Linked DNA regions of Daphnia pulex. The protein of the gene in region 7 binds, or shares a complex with, the protein of the main gene of each other region. Links are inferred from orthologs where the notes say so. Each region holds a gene or a part of one and is shown on either strand. Other genes may lie near its edges.

What was found.
Region 1: DNA-directed RNA polymerases I, II, and III subunit RPABC3-like (region 7) and general transcription factor IIF subunit 2-like share a complex: the UniProt entries of both Homo sapiens proteins name them as parts of the TBP-based Pol II pre-initiation complex. The link is inferred for Daphnia pulex from reciprocal best matches to the Homo sapiens genes POLR2H and GTF2F2.
Region 2: DNA-directed RNA polymerases I, II, and III subunit RPABC3-like (region 7) and general transcription factor IIF subunit 1-like share a complex: the UniProt entries of both Homo sapiens proteins name them as parts of the TBP-based Pol II pre-initiation complex. The link is inferred for Daphnia pulex from reciprocal best matches to the Homo sapiens genes POLR2H and GTF2F1.
Region 3: DNA-directed RNA polymerases I, II, and III subunit RPABC3-like (region 7) and general transcription factor IIH subunit 5-like share a complex: the UniProt entries of both Homo sapiens proteins name them as parts of the TBP-based Pol II pre-initiation complex. The link is inferred for Daphnia pulex from reciprocal best matches to the Homo sapiens genes POLR2H and GTF2H5.
Region 4: DNA-directed RNA polymerases I, II, and III subunit RPABC3-like (region 7) and RNA polymerase I-specific transcription initiation factor RRN3-like share a complex: the UniProt entries of both Homo sapiens proteins name them as parts of the pol I pre-initiation complex. The link is inferred for Daphnia pulex from reciprocal best matches to the Homo sapiens genes POLR2H and RRN3.
Region 5: DNA-directed RNA polymerases I, II, and III subunit RPABC3-like (region 7) and DNA-directed RNA polymerases I and III subunit RPAC1-like share a complex: the UniProt entries of both Homo sapiens proteins name them as parts of the pol I pre-initiation complex. The link is inferred for Daphnia pulex from reciprocal best matches to the Homo sapiens genes POLR2H and POLR1C.
Region 6: DNA-directed RNA polymerases I, II, and III subunit RPABC3-like (region 7) and transcription initiation factor IIA subunit 1-like share a complex: the UniProt entries of both Homo sapiens proteins name them as parts of the TBP-based Pol II pre-initiation complex. The link is inferred for Daphnia pulex from reciprocal best matches to the Homo sapiens genes POLR2H and GTF2A1.

Annotation. Positions count from the first base shown.
Region 1 is NC_060025.1:406,076-409,484, reverse strand, and holds general transcription factor IIF subunit 2-like, read right to left. Parts: upstream 2,067-3,409; 5' UTR 1,913-2,066; coding exon 1,719-1,912; intron 1,650-1,718; coding exon 1,498-1,649; intron 1,372-1,497; coding exon 1,285-1,371; intron 1,221-1,284; coding exon 1,096-1,220; intron 1,036-1,095; coding exon 892-1,035; intron 833-891; coding exon 716-832; 3' UTR 501-715; downstream 1-500. UniProt on the Homo sapiens protein: TFIIF is a general transcription initiation factor that binds to RNA polymerase II and helps to recruit it to the initiation complex in collaboration with TFIIB.
Region 2 is NC_060018.1:350,396-354,412, reverse strand, and holds general transcription factor IIF subunit 1-like, read left to right. Parts: upstream 1-1,217; 5' UTR 1,218-1,526; coding exon 1,527-1,544; intron 1,545-1,603; coding exon 1,604-1,639; intron 1,640-1,697; coding exon 1,698-1,771; intron 1,772-1,838; coding exon 1,839-2,116; intron 2,117-2,196; coding exon 2,197-2,496; intron 2,497-2,561; coding exon 2,562-2,808; intron 2,809-2,872; coding exon 2,873-3,132; intron 3,133-3,191; coding exon 3,192-3,267; intron 3,268-3,318; coding exon 3,319-3,519; intron 3,520-3,581; coding exon 3,582-3,789; 3' UTR 3,790-3,949; downstream 3,950-4,017. Other genes in the region: regulator of microtubule dynamics protein 1-like, read right to left, coding at 39-176, 238-545, 605-753, 815-1,044, 1,108-1,190. UniProt on the Homo sapiens protein: TFIIF is a general transcription initiation factor that binds to RNA polymerase II and helps to recruit it to the initiation complex in collaboration with TFIIB. It promotes transcription elongation.
Region 3 is NC_060021.1:7,407,973-7,410,528, reverse strand, and holds general transcription factor IIH subunit 5-like, read right to left. Parts: upstream 1,279-2,556; 5' UTR 1,270-1,278; coding exon 1,177-1,269; intron 893-1,176; coding exon 785-892; intron 715-784; coding exon 625-714; 3' UTR 597-624; downstream 1-596. Other genes in the region: septin-1-like, read right to left, coding at 14-242, 312-405, 464-596, 1,978-2,149, 2,220-2,357, 2,436-2,545. UniProt on the Homo sapiens protein: Component of the general transcription and DNA repair factor IIH (TFIIH) core complex, which is involved in general and transcription-coupled nucleotide excision repair (NER) of damaged DNA and, when complexed to CAK, in RNA transcription by RNA polymerase II.
Region 4 is NC_060026.1:14,530,097-14,534,057, forward strand, and holds the start of RNA polymerase I-specific transcription initiation factor RRN3-like, read right to left. Parts: upstream 2,801-3,961; 5' UTR 2,579-2,800; coding exon 2,354-2,578; intron 2,284-2,353; coding exon 1,994-2,283; intron 1,934-1,993; coding exon 1,781-1,933; intron 1,724-1,780; coding exon 1,310-1,723; intron 1,246-1,309; coding exon 1,064-1,245; intron 1,004-1,063; coding exon 885-1,003; intron 827-884; coding exon 569-826; 3' UTR 1-568. Other genes in the region: uncharacterized protein LOC124203933, read left to right, coding at 3,185-3,265, 3,325-3,551, 3,613-3,778, 3,848-3,939. UniProt on the Homo sapiens protein: Required for efficient transcription initiation by RNA polymerase I (Pol I). Required for the formation of the competent pre-initiation complex (PIC).
Region 5 is NC_060020.1:1,790,205-1,794,501, forward strand, and holds DNA-directed RNA polymerases I and III subunit RPAC1-like, read right to left. Parts: upstream 2,801-4,297; 5' UTR 2,737-2,800; coding exon 2,644-2,736; intron 2,579-2,643; coding exon 2,507-2,578; intron 2,436-2,506; coding exon 2,195-2,435; intron 2,115-2,194; coding exon 1,995-2,114; intron 1,937-1,994; coding exon 1,754-1,936; intron 1,674-1,753; coding exon 1,557-1,673; intron 1,487-1,556; coding exon 1,364-1,486; intron 1,299-1,363; coding exon 1,186-1,298; 3' UTR 1,181-1,185; exon of another isoform or gene 1,152-1,180; intron 1,103-1,151; 3' UTR 268-1,102; downstream 1-267. Other genes in the region: sodium/potassium/calcium exchanger 1-like, read right to left, coding at 30-140; uncharacterized protein LOC124192222, read right to left, coding at 3,326-3,492, 3,558-3,793, 3,855-3,946, 4,140-4,297. UniProt on the Homo sapiens protein: DNA-dependent RNA polymerase catalyzes the transcription of DNA into RNA using the four ribonucleoside triphosphates as substrates.
Region 6 is NC_060018.1:12,590,407-12,594,187, forward strand, and holds transcription initiation factor IIA subunit 1-like, read left to right. Parts: upstream 1-1,283; 5' UTR 1,284-1,406; coding exon 1,407-1,430; intron 1,431-1,574; coding exon 1,575-1,764; intron 1,765-1,807; coding exon 1,808-1,906; intron 1,907-1,977; coding exon 1,978-2,178; intron 2,179-2,250; coding exon 2,251-2,372; intron 2,373-2,451; coding exon 2,452-2,721; intron 2,722-2,791; coding exon 2,792-2,899; 3' UTR 2,900-3,281; downstream 3,282-3,781. Other genes in the region: serine/threonine-protein phosphatase 2A regulatory subunit B'' subunit gamma-like, read right to left, coding at 1-101, 164-352, 422-590, 651-760, 824-928, 984-1,118. UniProt on the Homo sapiens protein: TFIIA is a component of the transcription machinery of RNA polymerase II and plays an important role in transcriptional activation. TFIIA in a complex with TBP mediates transcriptional activity.
Region 7 is NC_060023.1:10,147,956-10,150,973, reverse strand, and holds the end of DNA-directed RNA polymerases I, II, and III subunit RPABC3-like, read right to left. Parts: coding exon 2,923-3,018; intron 709-2,922; coding exon 591-708; 3' UTR 501-590; downstream 1-500. Other genes in the region: electron transfer flavoprotein subunit beta-like, read left to right, coding at 1-65, 136-306. UniProt on the Homo sapiens protein: DNA-dependent RNA polymerase catalyzes the transcription of DNA into RNA using the four ribonucleoside triphosphates as substrates.

The DNA.
Region 1 (3,409 bases), on a different chromosome or scaffold from region 7:
TGATGTTGAAATGCTAATTCTTATTCTGTTGTTGTACAGGAACCCTCACATCGCTACCTGAAGTTGCAGATTTCCTGGTGAAATAATTCTGTTTGGTGTATTTTATAGTATCTATATTGACAAATAAACAATTTTTAAAATTACATTCTGGCAAATTGTAACTAGTGAAAATTAAAACAAATTAATTTGTAGATAACTATATTCAGCGTTAAATTGTTGGTTGAATCATGGTTGGATGATGAATCTCATCAAGAGACAGGCTGTTGCTATTCTAATAGATTATGGCTTTTGACTGAGATAATATAATGTTAACTGTAAGTAGGGTACCATGAAAAGCTGTAAATATTAACATGTAACCTTTTACTTGATTCTTGTTTTTACAATCTTACGATTCTGTTTAAAAGGGGTTCCTCGTTAGCACATAAGCCTACTTTTCGCACTGAACTCGCTCATGAAATCATTTCTTCCTGATATGGTTGGGATAAATTATATTGGTAAAATTTTCAAGTTCGCATCGATGTATTGGACCACACACTTGTTAGCACGGGAATTTTTAGACGAAGGGAAAATTGTAGCCTAAGAGAACATTTTATCGAACAATTTCAAGGGCAGTTGAAACCCATTTGAGTTATCTGAAGTTATGTGCATCCAAGAGCTGTTTAGTAGTTTTCTGAAAATCACAGCTTTATTAGAAAGTTAATGGACTGTTTACTTATTAGTCCTTGTCTTCATCTTTGTAGTGGCGGTATTCCGGTTTCAGTTCCCACATGTTTTTGTGAGGATTCTTCAAATTGTATACACAAACATCCTTCAAAATTTCCTTGAGGTAGGTCTATAAAAGCAGAGGGTTTTAAAAGTGCAAATGCTTGTATGAAAACAACTTTTTCTTACCACAGGTTGGTTGGTGAGTTTTACCAAGTCCTTGATGTTGTAGTACTGATGCTTTTCAAAAGCTGCAAACAGCATGTCCATAACTTTGCCCTTATCATCTCTGGCTTTCTTACCCTCAGCTTTCTTCTTTTCGTCGAATTCTTTCTGTAATCAGGAATAAAAGGTTATGATGTACCAAAAATAGACGAGAATTGCTATATTTACATTATGCTTGTGGTCAGAGATGGGTTTGTAACTTTGAACCACTCGATCCAATTGCTTCACAATTCTTGTAGGTTGGGCAGCTTTAATCAAAGAATCCCTTTTGAGTTTCATGTAACTTGCATTTGCTGATGAAAATAAAAATCATTAATGCTCACTTCAAGCTTAGGAACTTTATTTTGTTGGTCTCACCTGTTGGTCTACATTCAAGCTTCTGGGCAACTTTGCCTTCAAATATGATCTTCTCAGTTTCCATAGGTGAGTTCGCGGTGGCTGGAGCTGGGGAAACAATACAAAAATGTCAATATTAAATTAGATTAATTGCAAGCACGCCACTTTAAATATCATGCTTTAAGCTCAGGCCTAAAATAAAAATCTTCCCCATAACTGTCAAGTAGTACGTACTGGTTTGTTGAGAAAATACACCCAATGTTTGTGAAGTAATGTGTGAAACAATCAATCCATGCTCTTTAGGAATAGGTTCCTCTCCTTTTTCCTGGAGACACATAATAGCTTCCGACAGAATAAGTTTGACTTGAGACTTTTGTCCTTGCACCCTGAACAAGAGTTGTAATGAGTTAATAAAGGATTTGTCGATTTGTTAACATAAACCAATTGATGCATACCTAGTAATATTCAGTTGTCCAGCTGTAATATTTCCAGGGCATTTATCCCATCGACTTGAAATGTATTTTGGTACTTTCACCAACCAAACACCCCGACTAGCTGAAGACATTTCCATTTCCCTTTCATAAACGATGACATCTTTGTCTTTCTCCTTGTCTTTCTCTTTTTCTTTCTCCTTTTTCTTTGACTCCATGGTTTTCAGTTTTAAAAATTCTGCTTCAACGTACTAGAAAAACCTATTCAAGAGAATGTAGTTCTAAATATTGGCCGGCTTTAATAAAACAAGTAATCGTTTCTTCTTTCAATCGACAACGTCACACAACTGAAAAGGTCTTCAAGTCTATCGTCTGCTATAAATCGCGCCAGAGCGCGTTCTTTTGTTTTATTAGATAAGTTTACGCAACCATCAGTTCGTCAACGCATTTTTCTTTAATAAAACCCCCCAAAAATCGAAATGGCATGGAAATTTAATGGCCTTAAAAAAAATAACTGATCAAATTTGTTGTTGCACAATCCCTTTAATAAGCTTTTAACAGGAAATAGTTTGATTGGCCAACATTTTTTCATTTAGCTTTTTACTCCTCCTCAAATGTAACCCTGATTGCATATCTCAATGCTCAAATCTCAAATTTGTTTCAGTATGAATTCCCTAATATTATTATTATTATTATTTTCTTGCCTTTCTAGATTTATAGGAATTTGCAAATCAGGACGTCTATCTGTGTAACTTTCAGACGCGGAATAATGTGGTATTTTTCATAACGCCCCGTGAGAAGTGATTCGGAATGTTTGGAATTTTAATAAGTACGAAATCACCGGAATGCCTGGCCAAGTATATAATCGCCCTCTGAAACAAAGCAGAAACTGGGAAACCTCTTTTTGTACTAGTTGGTCTGATTCGATCGGAATATGTATTACCACTTGTAACTGGATTCAAAATCAAACAATTCTACGAAATCGAGAAAGTTATAACAACTAGATTGGTACTTAAGGCGATGTCTTGTGGGGGGACAATGTCCGTCCACTAACTCCTTTTACTATAATTGAGTTCTATCACTAGTACGAATTGCTATACATGTATAACATAGATTTGTCTAAACAAGAGATGGCGAAACGGTAAAAATAAAAAGAGCACAGCAATTTGAAATTCTAAACGGGTTTCCCTTTCTCATGGTGGCCGCTGGTGGCGGAATCAAGAAGCTGACGACCAGGCCAGCACTCCACTCCGTGATCGAATATACAACATACTTGATTGCGCTTTGAAATGGACAGTGCGAGAGAATAGAAACATATATTTTAGTTTGAAAGTTGTATACACTAGTCCAAGATAATTGAAAGAAATTATCTACCGAAGAAAGAACGAATAGGCTATTTTAAATTTGATCATTTTACACTGGTGAGTATAAGCTATAGTGAGTCTAAATATTCTTGTCGAATGCAAACGAACAGAGAATAAAAGTCATAACCCAAGTTGCGGTTATCGCACTTTAAACTGCAATTTGTATTCCAATTAGTACATTCAAGGTGATTAAGAAAATGTGTGAATTAAATATTAGGCTATTAATTCGGTTATTGCGATTTATTAAAAGATATTTCATATTCAACCTATGATTCTTTCATTGTTATTTATTTCATAATAAAATCAAAGAGTAAGAAAACATTTTATGAGCTTTTATGAAAGTAAAGTTGT
Region 2 (4,017 bases), on a different chromosome or scaffold from region 7:
AATTATTTAGAAAAATGAAAAATTAAACCAAGCCGTACCTGTAAAAATTCGGCTCAACTTCTTCCGCTCTTAGGAAATACTGCAGTGCCTCTTCGTAAGAAGATACGGGCGGTGTAGCAAACAAGGTTGAGGCAATTTGCCTCTGAAGCCACGGCAATTCAGCAACAGAAAAGCACCTAAAGTTGCACGAAAATGTGTTACGTTACATACAAAAGAAAAGTTGTTATCTTGTCATACCAGTAGCCTAGCAAATGAAATGAAGTTGCATCCTTTGGGTTGAGTTCACACGCTCTTTCTATGTGTTTCTTGACGACAAACGATTGAGAAATGCGCTCCTTTAAGCCCTCGTAGGACGCCTTTTTATCTAACAAAATAAACATCCACTTGTGAGCAGCAAAGTTTTCCGGATCAATGAGCAGCGCCCCTTCAACATAACCGTATGCTTCAAAATCTAATTCTTTTTGTTCAATTGGACTGGACGATAATTTCGCTACTTCATACGTCGCTCGTGCCAGTCGCCAAAGAATTTCGGCATTATCTTCGGCCTAAAAAAAGTTTTTCCAACATTAAAACAGAGACTGACAAATCAGTTTATTCTTATTACCTTGTAGGGCAACAGAAGACTTCTCAATTTGGTGTAGGAATGCTCATTGTACAAGACATCAGCTTCAGAAATAAGATTGGTCTTATTTTCTCTTTCTTCATCAACTTTTACACTAGCAGAGACTGCAGGTAACAAACCCAGCATCCATCCTGCAGATTAACAAGTTATTGATTGTTTTTGTTACATGAATTCAAAAATTAGGCAACTTACCAATGTTTCTTGAAACTAGAGCTGGTTTCTTAGGAACAACATTCAGGAATCTTTTCCTGTACACAACAAATGCATGGTAAACTATTCCATATATTTTTCTCCCAGAGAACGATAACACCATGACGAACGCTTTCCACAACAGAAAGAAAATAAATGACGAAAAACGAATTAGGCAGTTGAGAATAGATAGGTAATCTAATTCCATGGCGACCAAAATTGGAACTAACGAACTTCAATAGTTGAAAAATGAATAATCATTTACTTTACTTGTAATATTACTTAACAATTTAGACCTCTTTATAAAAAAACTTTTTGATTGGCCATTTTTGGATATTTTAATAAGGTAAGTGAGAAATAGCCTTTCACAATTTATCATGTGGTTCAAGGCGGGAAGTCGACAGTGCAGTCTCGACGTGAAAAGAAAAGAACTGAAGCAGACGAAAACTGAACTGGGTCGTCGTCGACTATTTTTCTTCAGTATCGGGTCGGGTATAAAATTCGTTGGCGCTGTTTAAAGTGTCCCAATATTTTTTGGCATAGAAATTTCGATCACCACCCCTTAATTTTGGCCTATAATTTAGTAACGTGCATAGTTGGGTTAGTTATTTACCATTCGTGACGAACTTGTGACGAACACATCGGTGGTGTGTCTCGATCATTGTGTCGCCGGTGAGAAGTTGTTTTGTCAATCGTTTTTCACCGTCACATCATAATGTCTGCTGTTAACAAGGTACAATTTTTTTGTCTTCTCAATCAGTTAATTCAATATTAATACATGTGTTTCTCAAGACTCCTACTGGTGGATCAACTCCTGCTGCTACCAGGGTAAAGACATTTTGGTTTTTAATTAATTAGTTCAACATAATAATATGTGTTACATTAGACTCCAGCTGCTGGTGGATCAGCTCCTGCCGCTGCTGCTTCTAATGTTCAGACTATTGACATTCGAGTCCCCAAGTAAGAATATCAGACATTACCATCTAGATTTTTGCCTTCTTAAACCGAGTTTATAATGTTGTCACAGGAACATAAACAAAAAGCTTGCCATCATGAGATTCAATGGCTCAATGGGTATTGACTTTGTACAATGGAAAGATCCAAAAATGGAAAGGGAAAACAACCAAGTCACATTCAAAGGGTTCAATGAAGATATGCCAAAGTTTGGTGCTGGGAGTGAATATGGCAGAGAGGCTCGTGAGGAAGCTAGACGGAAGAAGTATGGCATAATAAGCAAAAAGTATAATCCTGAAAACCAGCCTTGGATTTTACAACATGGGGGAAAAAGTGGGAAAAAGTTCAGAGGTATACTAAAGTTGGAAACCAAGCTAAGATAGCAATAAGAAAGTTTAGTAATGTGCAATTATATTTATTTTATTAAACAGGAGTAAGAGATGGTGGCATTAATGAAAATGCATCGTACTACGTTTTTACGCAAGCACCAGATGGTGTGTTTGATGCCTTTCCTGTGCAAGAACAATACAGTTTTCAAGCAGTTCAAAATTACAAACCACTGAGTATTGAAGAAGCAGAGGAAGGGTACAACATGAGGAACAAAACATACAACATGTTCAATGTCATGATGAGAAAGAGACTAAGGAAAGACGATGAAGACGCCGAAGAAGAGGGCGAGGAAGAAGGTGAAGGCAAAGGAAAGAAAGGCAAGAAAAAGAAGGGAGCTAAAGGTAGGCAACAAGCAAAAGTTCCACCATAAATAATGTCACAAAATTATAACAACTTTTGCATTCAGATTCTCGTTTTGGTGATGAATTGGACGATATGATGGCATCTTCCGATGACGATTCTAGCGACGGCAATGATGATAACGACGACGATGATGGAGAAAGTAAGAAAAAGAAGAAGAAAGGCAAGAAACCTGTTAAGCCGAAGAAGAAGCGAAAGAATGCGTCCGATGATGAAGCTATCGAAGATAGCGATGATGGTGATGGTGAAGGCAGAGAGTTGGATTACATTTCCTCTTCCGACGATGACGAAAGGTATGTCATTAATCTTGATGCATTTGTCGATTTTCTAACACACCCGCGTTGTTCTTTAATCTAGTGATTTCGAGAAAGAAGAAGCAAAGGACGGACTAAAGGGTGTTGCCGAAGAGGATGCTCTCCGCAAGTTGCTTAACTCGGACGAAGAAGATGAAGACGAAGAAAAGGAGGAAGAAGAAGACAAAGACAAAGAAGAGGAAGATGCTGAAGGTGCCGAAGACCAGCAAGGTGATAAGGCTTCCAAAGACGAAAAAGGCGACAAAAAGAAGAAGAAAGAAAAAAAGAAGAACAAGGATAAAAAGCCCCGCAACGAGGATTATGGTAATATCCATTTAAAAACATCGTGTGTTTGAGTCAAATAATAACGAAACATTTATCAGGATCGTCAAGCGACAGCGGTGCCGAGAGCTCAGCATCCGAACTGGAGAAAGCTAAACCGAGCCCAAAAATGAAACCGTAAGTGCAGTAATTTGGTTTCCTGACAGTTAACTGACAAACTATTTCTAGGGGGAGTGCCAACAGTTCTAGATCAGCTACTCCGACGAAACCTGAAACATCGCCGCCTAAAACAACGCTATCAGATAGCAAGCGAAAGGGAACACCTGCAGTGTCCGATGCTCTTACTGGCCAAGCAACAAAGAAACCTCGATTGGACATGGCATCCGCTGCTTCAGCTGCCTCTGCCGCTTCAGCTGCATCATCATCTAGGTATTTATAAATAATGAACTAAAATTAATCCTGAAACGTTATGTATATTTTTTCTTTTACAGTGCCAATGAAGGAGTCAATGAAGAGTCTGTTAGACGTTATTTATCCCGCAAGCCAATGACAACGACCGAATTGCTTCAGAAGTTCAAAAGCAAGAAAACTGGTTTGTCGTCGGACCAGCTTGTCCATCACATTGCACAAATTTTGAAGAAGATCAACCCCGTGAAGCAGACAATTAAAGGGAAGATGTATTTGTCGATTAAGGCTTAGCGACAATAACGATGATTGGTGTGTTCTGTTTGTGCTGCAATCACTATTGCTACTTTACTGAAATTATCTCAGGCCTTCCCTTTACGGTTTATAAAAACGGACTAGAACGGTTGTTAAAATGCGTGATTTTCGGAACGATTAAACAAATTTGCAGTTGTAAGTTTTGGTATTATTTCAACAAGTTATCTGTTATTGGAAACACTTCACATTTTTAGATGAAAAACAGCC
Region 3 (2,556 bases), on a different chromosome or scaffold from region 7:
CAATGGAATATTATTAGGCGGTCCACTTCAAGCAACGCGTGTCTTGATGAGTACCTAAGCATTTGACGCTACAGTACCTTGCGCCACAAGATAAACAGGTGTAACTACAAGTAAATCCACAAACAGCACAAAAATGACGTTCGGGAAACTTAGATGGTGGAACTTGAGCTGAAACATAATTTGGGGGCTCTGGGCGATTAACCTGTTCTTCCTCCAACAGCTGTGCAAAGGATTTTCGAAACCTGTAAAAGAGGAGAAATTACTTCAATAGAATTACACTTCGTTTCAGCAATTAATATTAAACAAAATACCGTTGTTTGAAAATTTCGAAATTTTTAGATTTCCTTCTTCTTGTTTGTTTACCATCAAGAGACTCTTCAAACTTGGGGATCTTTTTGCTTAGTACTGCATAAATATCCAGAATTAATGAAAGATCTGAAAACTAGCCAACTTACAAAAATACCTAAATTGGCATGAGGGTCATCATGAAAATTATCTTGCTCAAGTGCTTCCAATGCTTTCCTTGCTCTTCTCCTACGAGCTGCCTCATCCAAAACCCTTCTGGAATTGGCATCCTTCTGACGGGCTGACTCTCTCTGAGATGAATTCATGATGATAGATAATTTACTCGATTTCTCTTTCTGCCAAAGGAAAACTGATCCTGTCCATCAAATCATCAATTCTAGACTGCAAAACTTCCAGATATTCAGGTGCCTAACAGAGAAAATGTCAAAAAGATAAAAATACAAAATATGAGAAAATAGAAGTATTTTTTAAATTTTACAATGAAAACGTGAGTTTCATCCAAATCTTGAACTATGAATTTGTTGCCTAGAGCATGTGTCTCGTCTAAATGAAGAAGCAATTGTTTCATAGCAGCATCACATTCAACCTTTGGGTAATAATACAAATTCAAGTATAAATTTAACAATTAAGCACCATGTAAAGAAAAGGTAAACCATTATAAGTTGCCACCTGAGATACTTATTAATTTCTAAATCTATGACTATTTCCACGGGATAGTCCGATCGAATATTTTGTGCTTTCTTTCTGACAAGAAACTTTTACCAGCACAGTCAATTTCACTAGTGATTGAAGTAAGTTAAAATACCATACTTCAAATACAAAGATATAATAAATCAAGTGGCATTTATAAGTTTTACCGTAAATTATTACCAGAATTCCTTTAGTTACGTTTACCATCTTGCCCCATTGGTAAAAAGTAAGTAAGTAACTGATCGTCTGATCACCATTTTGGATTTTTGGCATCTTCTTTCAGCACTTCCAGCTTTTGATTGGCGTCGGTAGGTGGCGTCTTAAATTGAGCGGGAAAGGAGTTTGTTGGCGCATTATATAAAAATTTACAAGACTTCCATTCATAAAGGTTTGGTTTCACTTCAAGAAAACTAAGAAAAATTAAATCTTTTAATGGGAAAAAGGAAGCAAGAGTCTGAAAAAATTGTATATTGAAATACTGCGACCAGTACCGAGAGTCCGAGACACTAAAAAGAAAATGATTGGGTAGGATATTCGAGGCGCATCTGGGCTTTAATTGCCCTACATGGAAGAAAAATTCGAATGTACGCAAATGAGGAAAATTACTAGTGAAGTGACCAAATAATGAAGCACAGCGAATTTGTTAAATGTTGGCACTTGAATGGGATTTTATCGAGGAAACCTAAGATCTTCACATTGGAAGGTAAGAGTGCCAAGGGTGTTGAAACAGCAATCAAAGCTGAATAAACAGTCAAAACAGTAGAGAAGAATTCCTTTTGGTTTAAGTGACAACTGAAAATTGCTGTTAAAGACGACGCACAGTGCTATTGAGGTTGTTGTTGTTGCATTTGTGCTTGCATTTGAGCCAACATCTGTTGCATACGTCGTAGCTCCGCCTCTTTTTCCTGTGAGAACAAAACAATGATGCAAACGGTCGAAACACTATTTCCATTGTCTATTAATAACACAATAGTTACTAACCTGAAGTATTTTTTCTTTCTCACTAATCTGCTCCGGAGCAGCCGATGGCGCGGTGGAATTAGTTGGCCCAGCGGTTTTTCGATTCGAAGCTACACCTTTAGCAAGACGTTCTGATCGGTAGTTCTCATAGTGAACATCTTGTGTTACTTCCTGTAAATCTTGTAGCTGTTGACTAAATAATGAAAGAATTAAACGTTAGTGCAATGCAAGATTTTCGATCTTTGACGAGTCAAACAAGTTACATCAGCATCGTTCGGAGTTTAATGAAATCGCAGTGTTCAGGATTTTCAACTTCAACGACACCCCATGGATACTGCCGTCCGCGGACCTTTCGGCCCTTAACTTCAATCAACGTATTGGCCCCACATACAGCAAAAGGTCTGAATAAATGAATTATATTATTATTATTATTATGAATGAATTATAATTGTTATTAGTCTGAATGAATTATTACATACACTGCGTCTTTAAGCTGACGAACTTGCTCTTTGTAGTCTTCGTCTTCATCCGAATCGCAATCGGGAAGTGGGTAAATACGAATTCCGTTTGCCTCAATTTCTTCCATGACCTAATAATTTT
Region 4 (3,961 bases), on a different chromosome or scaffold from region 7:
TTCACTTGAATTTTATTCTCACTAAAGGGAACTGGTTTTTAAGTGGCAATTTTTTTTTTCAAATGAATTACACGAAAACTTTAATTTTCATTACACGCTGGCGACAACATCTTTGTAAGTTGAATAGGAAACGGCGAAATCGAAGGGGAGAGCAAATAACATTGCGGTAATCGGGAGAGTAGACAAAAAGAAATTTAACAAGCCCACGAATCAAAGGAGAATTTCAACGTACGTCCCAAGCCGCCCAATACGATCGAGTATAGAAAAAGGAAAAATAATGTTCTTACGAAGAAAAACCGCAGCAGTGATCAGCTCCCGAAGTTGTGAATAGCGTAACGGATGATTAATCCGTAGACCAAGACCCAAAAGGAAAAAATGTTAATTTCAACGGTCTTCCAACAAATAGGCACGATCGAGTGAATATATACCACGTTAATATACATAATTTAACCGACACGAATGGGAAAAGACGGTCATATGGTAATAAAGATGTAGAGAATTGCAGAAAATAAAGAAACAGGGAAAATGGGGTAAATTTTAGATTTTACCAACGACAATATCGATGAAATCAACCCATGAAGTGGTGCATAAAGCCGCCAACTCTTGGTGATTCAGACAAAAGCTCCTCCATAACCTGATCGCTGTCGTAGAGTGAATCGTCACGACCGATAGGTTTGTCAATAACAAGAGGTGACACAAAGTCCATCGATGAGGGCAAGAGGTATTTCTCGAATGGATATTCTGTATCCATGACAAATGTGTCAGTTGTAGCTTCAGGTATACAAACCCTCTGATTACGAATCATGATGGTGTGACAGAATACAATCTAAACGAGAATTTCGGTTAATTACGTTACAAATCAACTTGATTGATAGTGGTACAACCTGCAGATGTGAAGCGGATTCTGCGAATTGTCTGACAGTTGTAGCGTGACAATAGCGTAGTGGGTTCAAAGGTGAGTTGACAATTCGGTTCAAATCCAGGGCTTGCAATCGGGCGAGAACTGCAAAAATGATCAAAAGGTTAATTGAATTCCAACAATAAGAAAGAACGATCATCGTACGCTTTCTGTCGTTGACAATATCTCGATGCCTAGCAGCCAAAACGTAGAAGGGAATATGACAAGCGGCATAGAATGCTGCATGGGCTCGGATTTTAAAAACAGCTGCTCCCTCACCCTTTGATTGCCGATCGAGGTATGCGTGAATCCACTGACACACTCGATCCAGACAGTCAATGACGTACCTTTAGAGAAATCACGAGTTAATGTTTGGTTTGATTGGTCTTATTATCACAAATGTGAACGTACTTCATGGGTACAAAAGAGGCTCTCCCCAAAAACGAAGCAAGGTAATCGGCACACGATTTTCGAATATTCAACTGAGATGAAGGGGTAAGAAAAATGACCCACAAGCGCTCAGTAAAAGCTTCATAGAGAGCAGTTTTGGTACTACATATGTAGAACATCAAGTAATGGACATGATGGATACCGGCGGCCGGTAGTATCAAAGATTCGAACGTAGCGTACATGTCCTGATAAAAATTCCGATGAACAATCCATTCGCTATGACATTTGCGATGACACAACTCAAACATAACTTTCATGATTTCGTCTAACGTTTCAGAAGCTTGATTCAAGACTGTATCCTCATCAAACTCCATAGGCTGATTGAATTTTTGTAGCAAGTCCTCTCTTGAAACTCTGCTGTCCAATTTAATGATTCTATACAAAAATTATTCAATTAGTTAATTAAAATAAATGAATTAAAGACTGACATACCTTCCAATGATGAGATGTAAAACACGGGGTCCAGACATTTCATGGTATTCAACAAAATGTAGAAGATTTCTGATGTAGTTTACTTGATTGCAACTGCTTGATCCAATGTAGGGAAAACCATTATTTAAAGAATCCCAAATAATACTTTGAGACCTGTCAATACAAAAACATTATTTTCTTGATCCTGGAAACAAATAATTACAGGGCTCTTACAATGGTATCAGCTGCAAAATTCCCCTCAAAACTAGATGCACATTCGATGTAGATTTTTCACAGTCTGAATTAAGTGTCAGATGTGAGACTAGCATTTTGACTACTGATCTACAGTAGAATGTGTGTGCTGAAACTAGTGTTTGGAGAAATGTCAAATATTCATCAAGTACTGGGGGCTGTCTTGTTGTCCATGAAATATGCAGCAATGCATCAACAAAGGAATCAACTTTTGGAGTCAGCAGACTGATAGAGCTGTTTACTTGTTGAAGAATCAGGAGTAAAAATCCATCCTAAAAATAAAAAAATTCTTAGTTCGTAATCTTGTAATCCTACGTCCAGTTTTTTCCCCAAATTACTTACATTGACATTAGGATCATTTTTCAGATTCAATAATTGGTGATATTTCACTTCGCTTCGCCCTTCGATATAATCCTTCAAAATTGAAACCACGTCAATTGTGACCAAGGAGTCAAATCGGACCTGCAAAGGCTGGGAAAGTTTCTTGGGTTGCATACTGATTCGCGAACTGGGTTTCAATATGGACTGTGGTATGGGAGTCAACTGGGAGCAATTCGTACTCGCCATGGCTATCGTTTCTTTTACTTAATACAATAATAAAAAATAAAACTACTTGGTTCTCGAACTCTTAACGATTTCTGATTTTACTATAGTGATGAGCTCTGTGCTTGTGATCTTTGCAATCACTAAAACTGAAAAAAAACGGCCAAGACCACGTTGTCTCATCAATGTAGCTCTCACTGCTCGCGCTGATTTTTTATCAGTCTGCTAGTGCGATGATACTATTAGCCTACAGCGTTGTCAAATTTCTTTACGATTTAATACATTTATAAATTTAAAATAATAGTTCCAAACATCGAAAACGAGCAACATTTTATAAATTTTATTATTAGGATTTTTTTTTAACTCGAAGCCAAAATGAAAACGAAAGTTGTGGTTAAAGTTGTTTTGCCATAATGACTCAGGTAAGATGTGACAGCTGTATTCACGCACGATATTTCAACTTGTTTTGACAGAGACAAACAGCTGGCAAGTGACAACGTAATTTCCGTAATAAAGCGTACGATCGAATTATCTTTAAGTGTATCCATAAATTATCTCAAACATTCCATATAACATTCGTTTGCTGAACTTTTACAGGAAGAAATATTAGAGCTAAACACTCATCCTGAGATGGTCAACATTCTTGAAGCTGTAAAAGGAGCTACGCTTAATTACGGAAAAAGCAGCATGGAGGTCGACCGCGATTTTAAAGTAAAACAATCGATGTAATTTCTTCATAGTTTCATATCATCAATTTATTTAAATGACAGAATTGGGTTGCCACTTCACCTTTAAGTGTCCCTGCTAGCCAAGGAGAAGGGACCAATTGGGGCAAGTTCCTCATGATTAGCTCTGTTCATCAAGAGTTGGCCAAGAATGTTTCCATTATGAAACGTGTTGATGGTGACTTTGAAGAATTTGTGAGAGCTCTCAAGCAAGACAGACAAAGAAAATGGTCACACATCCAATGGCTAGAAACATCTGCCAAAATGACTGAGTATCATATGTTTGTCTAAATGTGTTATTTCTGTATTTGTAATCACCAATTATTTCTAAAGACTTGGGATGTTATTAAGTCAACCTGAATATCAAAAACTTCTTGGTTTGGCTCTTTCAACCACTTTTGGCAAACCTCTACGCTACTGCATCCAACATGAAATTGTTCCAGCTGCAAGTTATTGGACCTATTATGCTGATCAGCTAGAGTCATGTCCTGTTACTCAAGTATTAAATTCATTATCAGTTGCATTACTAAATTTTTTCTACTAAAGTTTATTGGTTTTTTTTTCAAAGATTGGGAACAATATTGCTGTTGTAATTGTGGGTTCATCTAATCCAGTGCTGTCTGTGTCGCGTGCAATCGCACCACTCGTTTCGAGAGGAATGTAAGCATAAGTTAGCCCTTTA
Region 5 (4,297 bases), on a different chromosome or scaffold from region 7:
TTCAACCGCCCCAATAATGGGAGACTTACCGGCATATAGTTGCTACGCAGGGATGACGTGTAGGCCGACGATGATGAACCGCCATAGGAGCTACCGTAGGAGCCACCATATCCTCGTTGACTGGAGTAGTAGCCTGCCATTGCGTAATCGTCTTCTCCGGATCCGAAGAATGAAAATAGGAAACGATAGGGGTTCAAAACCGAAATAAAAATGAATAGACAATCATAGGCATAAATTTATATGAGGCATTCTCTTACCCAATTTCTGTTGTCCAGCCAAGTCCAAATGAGAAAAAAGATCTCCCTAATTAACAACTTCACGATCGGCCCAGATGGGGGAAAGGGGTCTTTTGATTGAGGGAGACGGTTTTTCTTTCGTCCGGCCACCAAGCAGAGTGCGTCGTCGACTGTACTTGTAGTGAACGTGGAGATGGAAAGCGACCCGAGTGCTCTACGTCCGAAACAAAACTCTTCCACAAGCTCGCAAGCTTCCACAAGCTTCCACGAGCACTAAATTTAGATGCCACGGTCAATGAGAAATAGACTTAAGAGAAAGAGAGAAAAGAAAATAGGAAGAAGAAGAAGGGAAAGAGAAAGGGAGAGGAGATAAAAAACAAAACAGAATACACTTCTTGTTCTTCTTCCCATTTCCTTCATCTCATCTGCCTAGACTTTCTTGGCACCACCTACGCATATTCCACAATGGGCTAAAACGAATTGGCGGTGTAAACAAAATGTGAGAAGGAAGGAAGAAGAACATTAGAAGGAGGAACATCTCGGTTCACATCCAAAACAATCAAAACCTTAGGATCCAAGGTCAATAAGAGGCTACTACAGCTTATCTAGCAAGTCTAGCGCCAACGTTTCGTAAAACCAGTAGCGAAACAAACAGAAGCCATTGTTGCAGAAGGCAAATAAAAATAGCGATGGAAAGGAACATATGAAAAAGGATAGGTATCCTTCCGTAAAACCAGGAAGAATTAGTTGCTCGCCTCCACCCCTCAAATTTTTTAAATAAGTCTTCCCTTCCTTCCGTTTGAAAAGCTCCGGTTTCGGTTTCTAAATGCAGTTCTGGGTCACTCGGCTGGAATCCTGGGTGATAACTATATCAACGGCACAAACGCCTCCAGGTGAACTAATAATGCGTAATCGTCATGAATCAACGCGTCTATTTAGGATACCATTCCTACAGTCCATTCTTCAATTCATCCAAAAATACACGGCATTTTTGTGACAGGATCTTGGCGGCTTCAGTGAAGAGGACCTCCGGCGCCAGTGCTCCAGTAGACTCGATGTAAACTAAACACATTTTCAAATGCATCGCTAAAGTAAGGAATAAGCAAAAATCCAATAACAATACTTACAGATGAAATGGTCGCGTGCTCGGGTCAGCTTTACAGTGTCCTCTTTTAGATCTTCGTGACGGAATACGTTGCGGCTGCAGATGTCATATCGGGCATCGTTGACTTTGGCAACCTTCTTTTCACCTGAAATAGAATAAAAAGGTAGTGCTTCACACTAATTAAGCTAGAAGAAAAAATATAGTATGTAGCAAACCTGAGTCGACCAAATCAATAACCCCAGGGGAAAAGCACTTTTGTAATCTTTGGGCAGCTTCACCTTCCACTTCCTTAAGAAGTTTCACTTGTGGTAGGAGACGGTAAAATGCGGTAGCTTGAGAAAATAGAAAAATAGTTTTTGTTTAAATCTCGGTCCAAAAATTCTTAATCATAAAAAAAAACAATAAAACTAACCAACGGGTGAGAATTTTGCATGTTCTCGTCCGGTCCCTTTCATTGCGTGCAATTTGATGTCAAGTTCGTGACCAGGTCTCATTTTTGCGATTAGAATGTTATCGTCAACTGGTCCAACTGCATCAGGGGTAAAGATATCTTTTTGGCCACCCAGTGGAATCCATTTCAAATGAGATGTCAAAACTGAAAAAAGTAGGTCAGCATTCTGTCGAAAAAAAAAGGTTTGAGTTTCCCTTCTTACCTCTGAAATCCCTGTACAAGTGTTCAGGATTTGTATGATCTTTAGTCCTTTGAGGATTCCACGAACATTTCACTTTTAACTCAAATTCAAGTGTATCTTCAGGAGTCCCAGTATCATCATCTAAAATGAGAGATGGGGTAACAAAGATTCAGTTATATGAAGTAAGGTGACAAAGAAAAGAATGGGTGTTTGGAGTATACCTTCAGCTCTGAATTCAAACAATCTTGGGTCAGCTTTCAATGGTATCAGTCCCAGTCTGTGGGCCAAGACTTCATCTTGGATGATTGAGGTATTGTTGAACATGAAGACTTTGTCGAAGGCCATGGTGGGAATATCAGACAGCAAAATACGACGAAAAGCATTTGGTATGGCTGGATCAACACCAATCAAATCAAACTCCATTTCCATATTTTCCATGCGGACAATGTTAATTTTGAGCCTCTACAAAATCAGAAAAAATGGTAATGCTCTCTTTTTATCTACTTATAGTGTAGAACTTTTCTTAGAAGAACCTTTTTGAACTTTTCAAAACTCCAACTGTCGTCAAACCCATGATGATTTCCTGGGAAGTCTGTGGCTTCAGCCTAAATAGTTATTTTTATTATTAAATTTGGTTGAACTTAGGAAGATTTCTGTTATGTAGTATTACATTAAGAACTTCGAATTCTGTCAGCACGAGTTCATTCCTACTTTCATCAATGTATTCCTTGCTTGATGAATATTTAACTTTACTTTTACTCATTTTTCCGTTGAGCTTTAACACGTGTCTGGACGAGGGAAAAATTGGCAAATAATGACTATTGTGAAAAGTGTCGTCTGCTTTTATTTATTTTTAAAATTTACTGCAAGATGTCGCCACCGTCTCGCCACCGTCTCTCAGTTTAATTCAGTTCAAATCGAAACCGCTTTTCTAGAAAACAAACGGACATATATTATAGGGTAAAGGTAAATAATAAGAAATTAAATATTATTTTGATAGCCAATAAACACCCTCCTCTCAAAAAAAGAAAATCCTATTTCCAATAGTATTTCAAGGAATTTGTTGAGTTTTTATATTTCTATTTTTTCTGAGGCAAATAACACATACACGTTAGACACAGTAACTGTACACGATATAAACAGTTAGCTTGGATGTTAGCGCGATACTTACGGTATAAGCTGAAGTATATTCGGCGTATCAAACAGTCCGAACTAAACTAATACGTCAGCATTTTACAGACATGTAATGTATGGGTAAATTATTTCTTTCGGAGGAGAGAGAATAAATGGGGCATTTATCCTGAGACTGAACCATCTATGAAAAAAAAAATGTATTCGTCTTTGTCATTTATTTAATTTTTTGTCTTATTCTTTGAAAGAATGTATTTGGACATGACAGCAATTCGTGAATTGATTTTGCTGTTATCGTCGCTTGAAGCTGAAGCCCTTGGTGTTCTACGTCTCGAATACGACTCCGGTTCTGCTGTTGCCTGCGGGATCGGTCCTCGATCAGATTTTCCTGTAATTAAGAAGTTCATTTGCAGGTAACAAAAAAAATTACAATTGGTAGAGGATGTGGTTTACCTGCTGCGTCTTTTTCCAAATCCGAATCCTTGTTAGTGGAACGGCTAGACAAGTACATTGAGTAGCGCTTATCGTAGACGGGCGGATCGTAAGATGAAGAGTCGACCGGCTTTATCGACGACGGCCTGGCATACGAGCTGCTGTAGCTAGGACTGTAGCTATCAGAGCTGTAACTTGAGCTTCTCTTCTCGTAATCCTTATCATCGTTCAGATAGCTCGAAAAGAAACGAGACAAACTATTGATATTCATTAAATACCATCTGGTTCATTTGCGTGAAAATTTGATTTGTTCGTTACCGAGTAGAGGGTTGGGTGTTGGTCTTCGTGGCGAAGCGATTGAGCACTGACGAAGTCGCCTCACGCAATTTGCGTAAATCTTCTTCGATATCCTGAAAGTGAGCTAATGGTTTGTTAATTGATCAAACAAAAATGTAGTCAACTTATAGAATCAAAACTTAGAACCCAACGGTAATTTCTAATAATTTGAGCTTATTCTATCAGCTATAGAATAAAACTATTTTTAAGATATGCTACGCTATGCAAAATACGTGGGTGGTTCACAAAGCGCTCAAATAAATTTACCTCTAGTTTCATGACGGGTTCTCCGTTAGCATCATCATCCAAACACGAAGCGGCACTGTAGCGCGCCCTGGTCGTGGTACCGGTAGTCTTGACGGGTGCAATGTCGTCATCACTATCCAAGTACGACGCACGAGTGTGGCGCGAACGAACCGGGATTT
Region 6 (3,781 bases), on a different chromosome or scaffold from region 7:
TTGGTATCTAAATTTAAGTATTGACCGTAGACTCTCAGAGCGGAGGGCGCAGAAAACCAGTTTGAATCCTGTGCATCTTTGGGCAGCTCTTCATCCCGTAGCTGATGAATTATAATATTTTTAGCGAGAAGAATGACAAAAGAATCAGGAATATACTAAATACCTCTAAAAGTTCGTCCAGAAAACCAGAAGCGAGAATATCCTGTATCCTGACTTTGCCTAGCTTTAATGGATCTAGGAAAAAGAGGAACTTGCGTACGGCGGTACAGACGTAAAACGAATGGAATGACTTTTCAAGCCCTTCTAACTGTGGCAATGTTGGGATAAGTTCAGTTATGTAGTTCTCTAAATCCTGGGAAAAACAAAAATAGATAAGTAAATTACATATTGCAAAAACAAAAAACATATTGCTGATGTTCACCATTTCAGTAAGCAGACCTTGTCCTGTGGCATCATATAATGAAAGACCAATTCTAGTTTGCTGTAACCAAACTTTCCTCATGATGTAATTGAACACTGCCATGGTTGATATTCTGCCATGAATATCATTCTGCAATAGCCTTGCAAATACATCTGGTGTAAAGAATGCTCTGTATAGGGGAATTCAAAAAATAACTTGGTGTTCCCAATCAAATATTTACATGTCTTACTTATATTTTGGACCAGCTATGTTGCCTACTTTGAGAAAATCAATATAATTGATCATCTGCTCAGAACCAGCAGGAGGGCTGTGATTTTTGTCAAGTAAAGTCCAGAGATTCTAAAGACAGGATGAAAATCTTATTTACCAGTAGCACAAACACTGGCAATGACATTAACAAACCTGCAGTTCATTGTTATCGAGGAGTTCTTTGCTCTTCTTCTGAAGGAATGCTGTTCTAGCTTCTTCTCTCAGTTTAAGGCTAATCATGTTTTCATGATTAGGAAGCTGTGTAACAAAAACATAAGAAATTTATAGGGAATCAATTGGAAGTTATGCTTACTTTGGTATAGAACTTTGGAACTGGCATGCTTTCTTCCGAGCATTGCTTGCTATATTTGAGACCTTCGGAATACAACTTTTGGAAGGTATCTTCATCTTCGGCGTTTAAAACCAAAATCTCGGATTTTTCATCCATCTCGTTGATGAAAATCAACGAATACTGAGACTTAGGCCGCTAATAAAAACGTTTCTTGTTCATTCGATTCAAACGTGTCGAAACGATAACAAACGGCTTTACTTTTAGCAGAAAGAATGTTTTTTTCGACCGCTAGATGCTATGCTTAGCCAAAATCACGCTTCGTGGCGCTGCCATCGGGGGCATTTCGATATATATTGCCGCGTCAGTCTTAGTTTTCATGTCGGCTTCCTGTTGAACGAAGCCCTCCCGGAATTGAAATCAAATAAAATTCAATTTCGTTAAAGAATGGCCGCCAATCAGGCACTCGTGGTATTTATTTACCTTTTACTTTATGATAATATTTCATGGGGAATAGTACCTGGAAACTGTTGTTGCATTGACGATTCCACTCCACGAGCTCGATCTCACTCCTCGTTGGTCTAATTAAGGACTTTTATATTTCTTTTTTTGTAGTCGAAACTGTATCGTGGCGTTATTGAAGATGTTATCAACGGGGTTCGAGAGGCGTTTCTTGACGAAGGAATCGATGAGGCTGTACTTCTCGAATTGAAGCAGAATTGGGAAAACAAATTGCAGTCCAGCAAAGCAATCGACCCTGTGACCGATCCTGCTGAAACTTCTCTCCAAAGCAAACTGCAACAAAGTATCCAATATCGATTATGAGACTTTATCATGTATGAAAAAAGGGTCTTCTTTGCCGTCAAAAGCAGGTCAGCAGGCTAGCTCTACAGCTCCTGCGAACAATTCTACACCTCAACAGGCAGCCACTACGGCAAAGCAACCAGGTAGTTGGGTATACTGTTACATTGAGTGCATTATTATTAATTGTTTTGTTTGTTTGTTTTTATTTTCTCTAAAGCAGCAGCAGCAGCCCAAACCCCAGTGACTACCCCTAATGCAGCTACAGGTGCAGCAACAACAGCAGCAGCTGCAGCCCCTGCTACGACAACAGTAAGGACGGTGCCAGTCCAAATCACTGTTCCTCCTCAGGCTGGAGTAGCAGGTCATACAGCAGCCAAGAGCATCACTGTTCACGTTCCAGCTCATGCTCTTCAAGGTTATTTCCCAATTGAATCTCGTTCGTACTAGCTCCAATCTAATTTCTTTACTATTTGTAATAATGTCACAGGTGGCGCAGCGGGAGCGCAGCTGCAAACGATCCTGAGTTCACCGGCTGTGACGGCGGCTCTCTCTCTTCCAGTTGAAATGGCCACGACTGTCTTGCAGCAGCACATTAATAACGCGTTGCAGGTACCATTGGTTGAAATTGAATCCACTCGAAAGTGTATATAATAATGTGTGTACAATGCATTATTACTTTTCTTTGTAGTCGACAGCTGCACGGAGCCAATCGCGAACTGACAATGGAGGAGTCACACAGTTGGATGGACCCGGAGACTCTTCGGACGACGACGACGATGTTGAAGATGATGACGATGACGACGTGGAAGAAGAGGACGATCATGACGACGAGGAGATTGACGCAGACAACGAAGAGAACGCAGACGAGGAGCCACTCAACTCTGAAGACGATGTGACTGATGATGATCCCTCAGTGTTATTTGAAACTGATAACGTCGTCGTGTGCCAGTACGACAAGGCAAGGATTTGAATTTTAGCATTCGAATTGGAATTGAAATGTTTTAAATGACTTTTTTTTCTATTTGTAGATTACGAGAAGTCGAAACAGGTGGAAGTTTCATCTCAAGGACGGCATCATGAACATTAACGGTCGCGATTACGTCTTTCAAAAGGCCAACGGTGATGCAGAGTGGTGAAAATATTCAAGGTTGAAATTGCGCTACTAGGGGAAAATCAAGATAATGTTTCATTTAATACAATCCGGAGGAATTTCGCTTTCAATTTAAGGATTTTTCGTGTGCCTGTGCGTGTGCATGTGCGGAATTTCTTTTTTCATGTCGGGTGTTGGATGAGCGGTGGAGAGGAAAAAATACCTGGGGACAAAGAAACAAAAGCCATTCGTGTTTGTCCTCCCTCGCTTCTTTTGTTTCGTTTCTCTTTTTTTGTTAACACACAAAACTTTCCGAATTCTTTTTTTGTCTCATCTTTTCCCTGTTCGCTGCAGAAGCTGTTGTCGCCCCCTTTTGATTCAGGAATATTTAGAAGAAGAAGAAAAATATATGTTCAAATTACCAAGAATTGCAATTAGTTTTCGAGAAGATTCTAATAACGTGACCCAAAACTAGTCCAAGACCCAGGGGACAATGTTACTAATTACGGTACCGAAAAATTCTTGTAATCGTATACAGTTGGTGGTGGACATTTTCAATGTTAGTCGGAAGAAATCTAGATTAGGTTGTATACATGGGAAGTCATTCAGGCGAGCGTACGGGGACTTGAAAGCAAATAACCAAGTGGTCAAAAGCTTACATCCGTTTGCAGTCATCACCGGGGAATTGCTCATCCAACTATTGGATTCGGTACACGTTAATGGAGTTTCTACACGATAGCAGCGCGGTAGGAGTTGTTGGCGTCCGCCAAAAAGTTTCCTAGAGCCGTTAAAAGGCAACCAGCACAAAACTAAACGAACTTTGCTGTTGCCAGGACCTTAGGATTCGACCTGCTGGACTCATTATCAAAACTAAAAAAAAAACGAGGGGAAAAGTTTCAACAAGGACGGACTGGGGCGTTCTTCCATC
Region 7 (3,018 bases):
CAACTGTCGTCAGCGCCGACTTGCGTCTGAATGAGCCTCGCTACGCAACTCTCCCCAACATCATGGTACTTTTTTTAATATACGCACAAATGCCCTCGATTTTTCACTCAAGTTTTTTATTTCTTTTCTTTTTAGAAAGCCAAGAAGAAGCCCATTAAGAAACTGACGCCTAAGGATTTAGGCGTCGACGTCAGCCCAAGAATTGAAGTAGTCACGGTCGAGGAACCACCCGTGCGGCTTGCAGGTGCCAAGGTCGAGAACGTCGACATGATGGTGGAAAAACTCAAAGCCCTCGGCCATGCTTAATTTGCAGGGGGGGATTGCAATGAGCATTGAAGAAAACCTGGACTTGCCCTTCTGGTTTCTGCCCATTTGTAGTTTGGCTTTTATCAATGCAAAAATCAAGTTGAAAAGATTACGCTATTACGGAAAAGAATACAAGAACTTATTATACTTACAACAATTCGTTTACTAATAAAATAAAGTCGAAACATTATTAGTTACAAAAAAATGCAAGTGTATTCAAAGAAATAATGAAGTACATTCATTCGTATCCCAAACTTGTAATTTATAAGTTTGCATACCACTTTTTAAAACGCAAGTTTCTTAATCAACAGGTAGATTTGTTGATCGACTTCGAATCCGTGAAGATTGTTGGCATCTCCCTGCAAACGCATCAGCAATCCTCCGTACGACGCATAGGCAGATCTGCACGAATCAATAAAGAAAATCATTACCGAACACTACCCATCATCTAAAAAAGAAAACAATCAAGATACACAAAAACATACAATTAAGGGCACACATGATCATTAGTAGTTTGGTCGAATATCGTGTCATCGACAGTGGACAGTTTGGATAGTGGCTGTGGATTCAAGTAAATATTTCACAACCAGCTAACCACACTGCCAACCATCAATACACTTATTGCCCAAACAATTTGTACTTGCATCAAGACACTTGTGGCTCAATGAGAAGCGAAGACTCGACTGTGACATGGAGACATTTGCAAAGTCCTTTTATAACGAGAAAGATGGGCACACACCACAACATGTCGACGAGAAAAAATCGTACGATAGGCGTTATTAAACGTCGTCGACCAATTAATATCCATAGGGAATTGCTTCGACGGTTCGACGAAAAACATCGACCCCCCCCACCCTTCCATTCTCAAATTAAAAAAGATGTTCGAAGAAAAAGAAATCGTCGTCATTTCGTCAACTAAACCAAGACGAACGTATCTAACCAATACAAGCTTTTTTCCTTTTCTTTTAAAACAAAATCATGTCTTCCTCTTCTCCGTCCTGGAAAAACTTGATTCCTTCTTTTTTAACAACCGCCCTTGGGGTATACCTGTTACGTTTTCAGGTCAAACAAAGTTATTAATCACGCATCATTAACGTCTTTTCACGACCAAAGCCACGAATTAAAACGGTGGCTGCCTCTAGATTTACGAGCTGATCGATAGGGGGAAGAAACTGTTGCTTTTTTAGGTGTCTAATGCGGTCGTATAAAACAACCGACATCCTACCGAACAACCTTTGCCACTCCCGAGTTTAAACCTATATCACCTCGCGTGATTTATTTATATAACCCCCGCGTTGTGCGATTCTCGATTTTTTCTTTAAACCAAGTGAAATTTGTGTTCTCAATTTATTTAATAGAAAAATACGAGCAATAACAAAAAACATCAGAAAAAGGGGGGCAAAGAAATATGATGATGGCTGAAAAGAGTGACGATACCAGAAGAATGCATTTACCTCGTTTACGAAATAATTAAAGGCAAACGCACTTGTGGTACGGACTCCAGACAGAAAATGGACTGGGTCTCAAAAACATCACATCATCAATCAATCAATCAATTAATTAATCAACGATGCATGCAATACGAAACACACACACACACAAAATCGACACACACACACATATGATGAAACAACAACCAATAAAAATTAAAAACTAAAAAACTAATAAATTATAACGATAATTTTTCTTCTTTTTCTCAGCGCAGCTTTTTTTTCTCAACGAGGGGCCCCCGCTCTCGATTTCTTAGCCACACCGTCCGGGTCAGAGGTCGAATTCCAAATGGTCCTAACATTCTACCACCCACTTGGCTTTTATATAGTCGGTGGTGGGCCAGGCCTACCGGAGTAGGCCGAGGCTTCTCCACAAATACAAATGGCCAAAAGTAGTAGCTGACGTCAATTCGCCTCTGGCAATTCCTCATCTTTTTCTAAAGAGCTATATCAATCGCTATGGTTCACCATTTAAAATGATTGGCCCCCTGTCAATCACGTAGTACGTTTCTAGTTGTCGTGTAAACGCGAGTGGTTTTAGGAATAATTCGCAGAAGTCCTGGGTCAAAGACCGATTCGTGGAATTGAAAAATAAAAGGCTAAAAACTAAGTCGGTGCAAGCTTTCTCCTATTATTGGAATATTTATGTTTTCTGGAAAATGGGAGGGGAGTCGGACAAAGTTTCGCCATTTCACTGGAAGAGCCGACAACGCATTTTTATTCCGCCTCATGGGGAAAGAATGTCGGTCACAAGTCCACCAAAAAACTTAGAAAGTGATACAAAAAGATTGAGATTGAATCAAAATGTACAGTTTCGTTCGGATTTTTTAACCGTAATGGCTGCCCCCGGTAACCATCGGAAAGAAAACGCAACGAAATAAAAAAAAAGAGAAAAGTTCGCGCAACAACTCTCTTATTTAGAACGACAACAACAACAACAACACAAGTCGATTTGTTCCAATATCACAAGGACTGAGATACCACCAGCTGTGTTCACCTGGAAAATTCCAACAACAGGCGAACGCAGGGTGGTTCCCCGTCCCGGTGTGGAAATTTTCTCTCCCACATCAATCAAAATTACGTTCAAATGAAGGGAATATTTAAGAAAAAGAAATATGAAACTCACAATCGAGATGACGGCTCGGTCGATCCTTCATCGCCTTCAATGCGATAGACTTTGCCGAACATGACGTACTCGAACGAATCGGCACGGGACGGGATG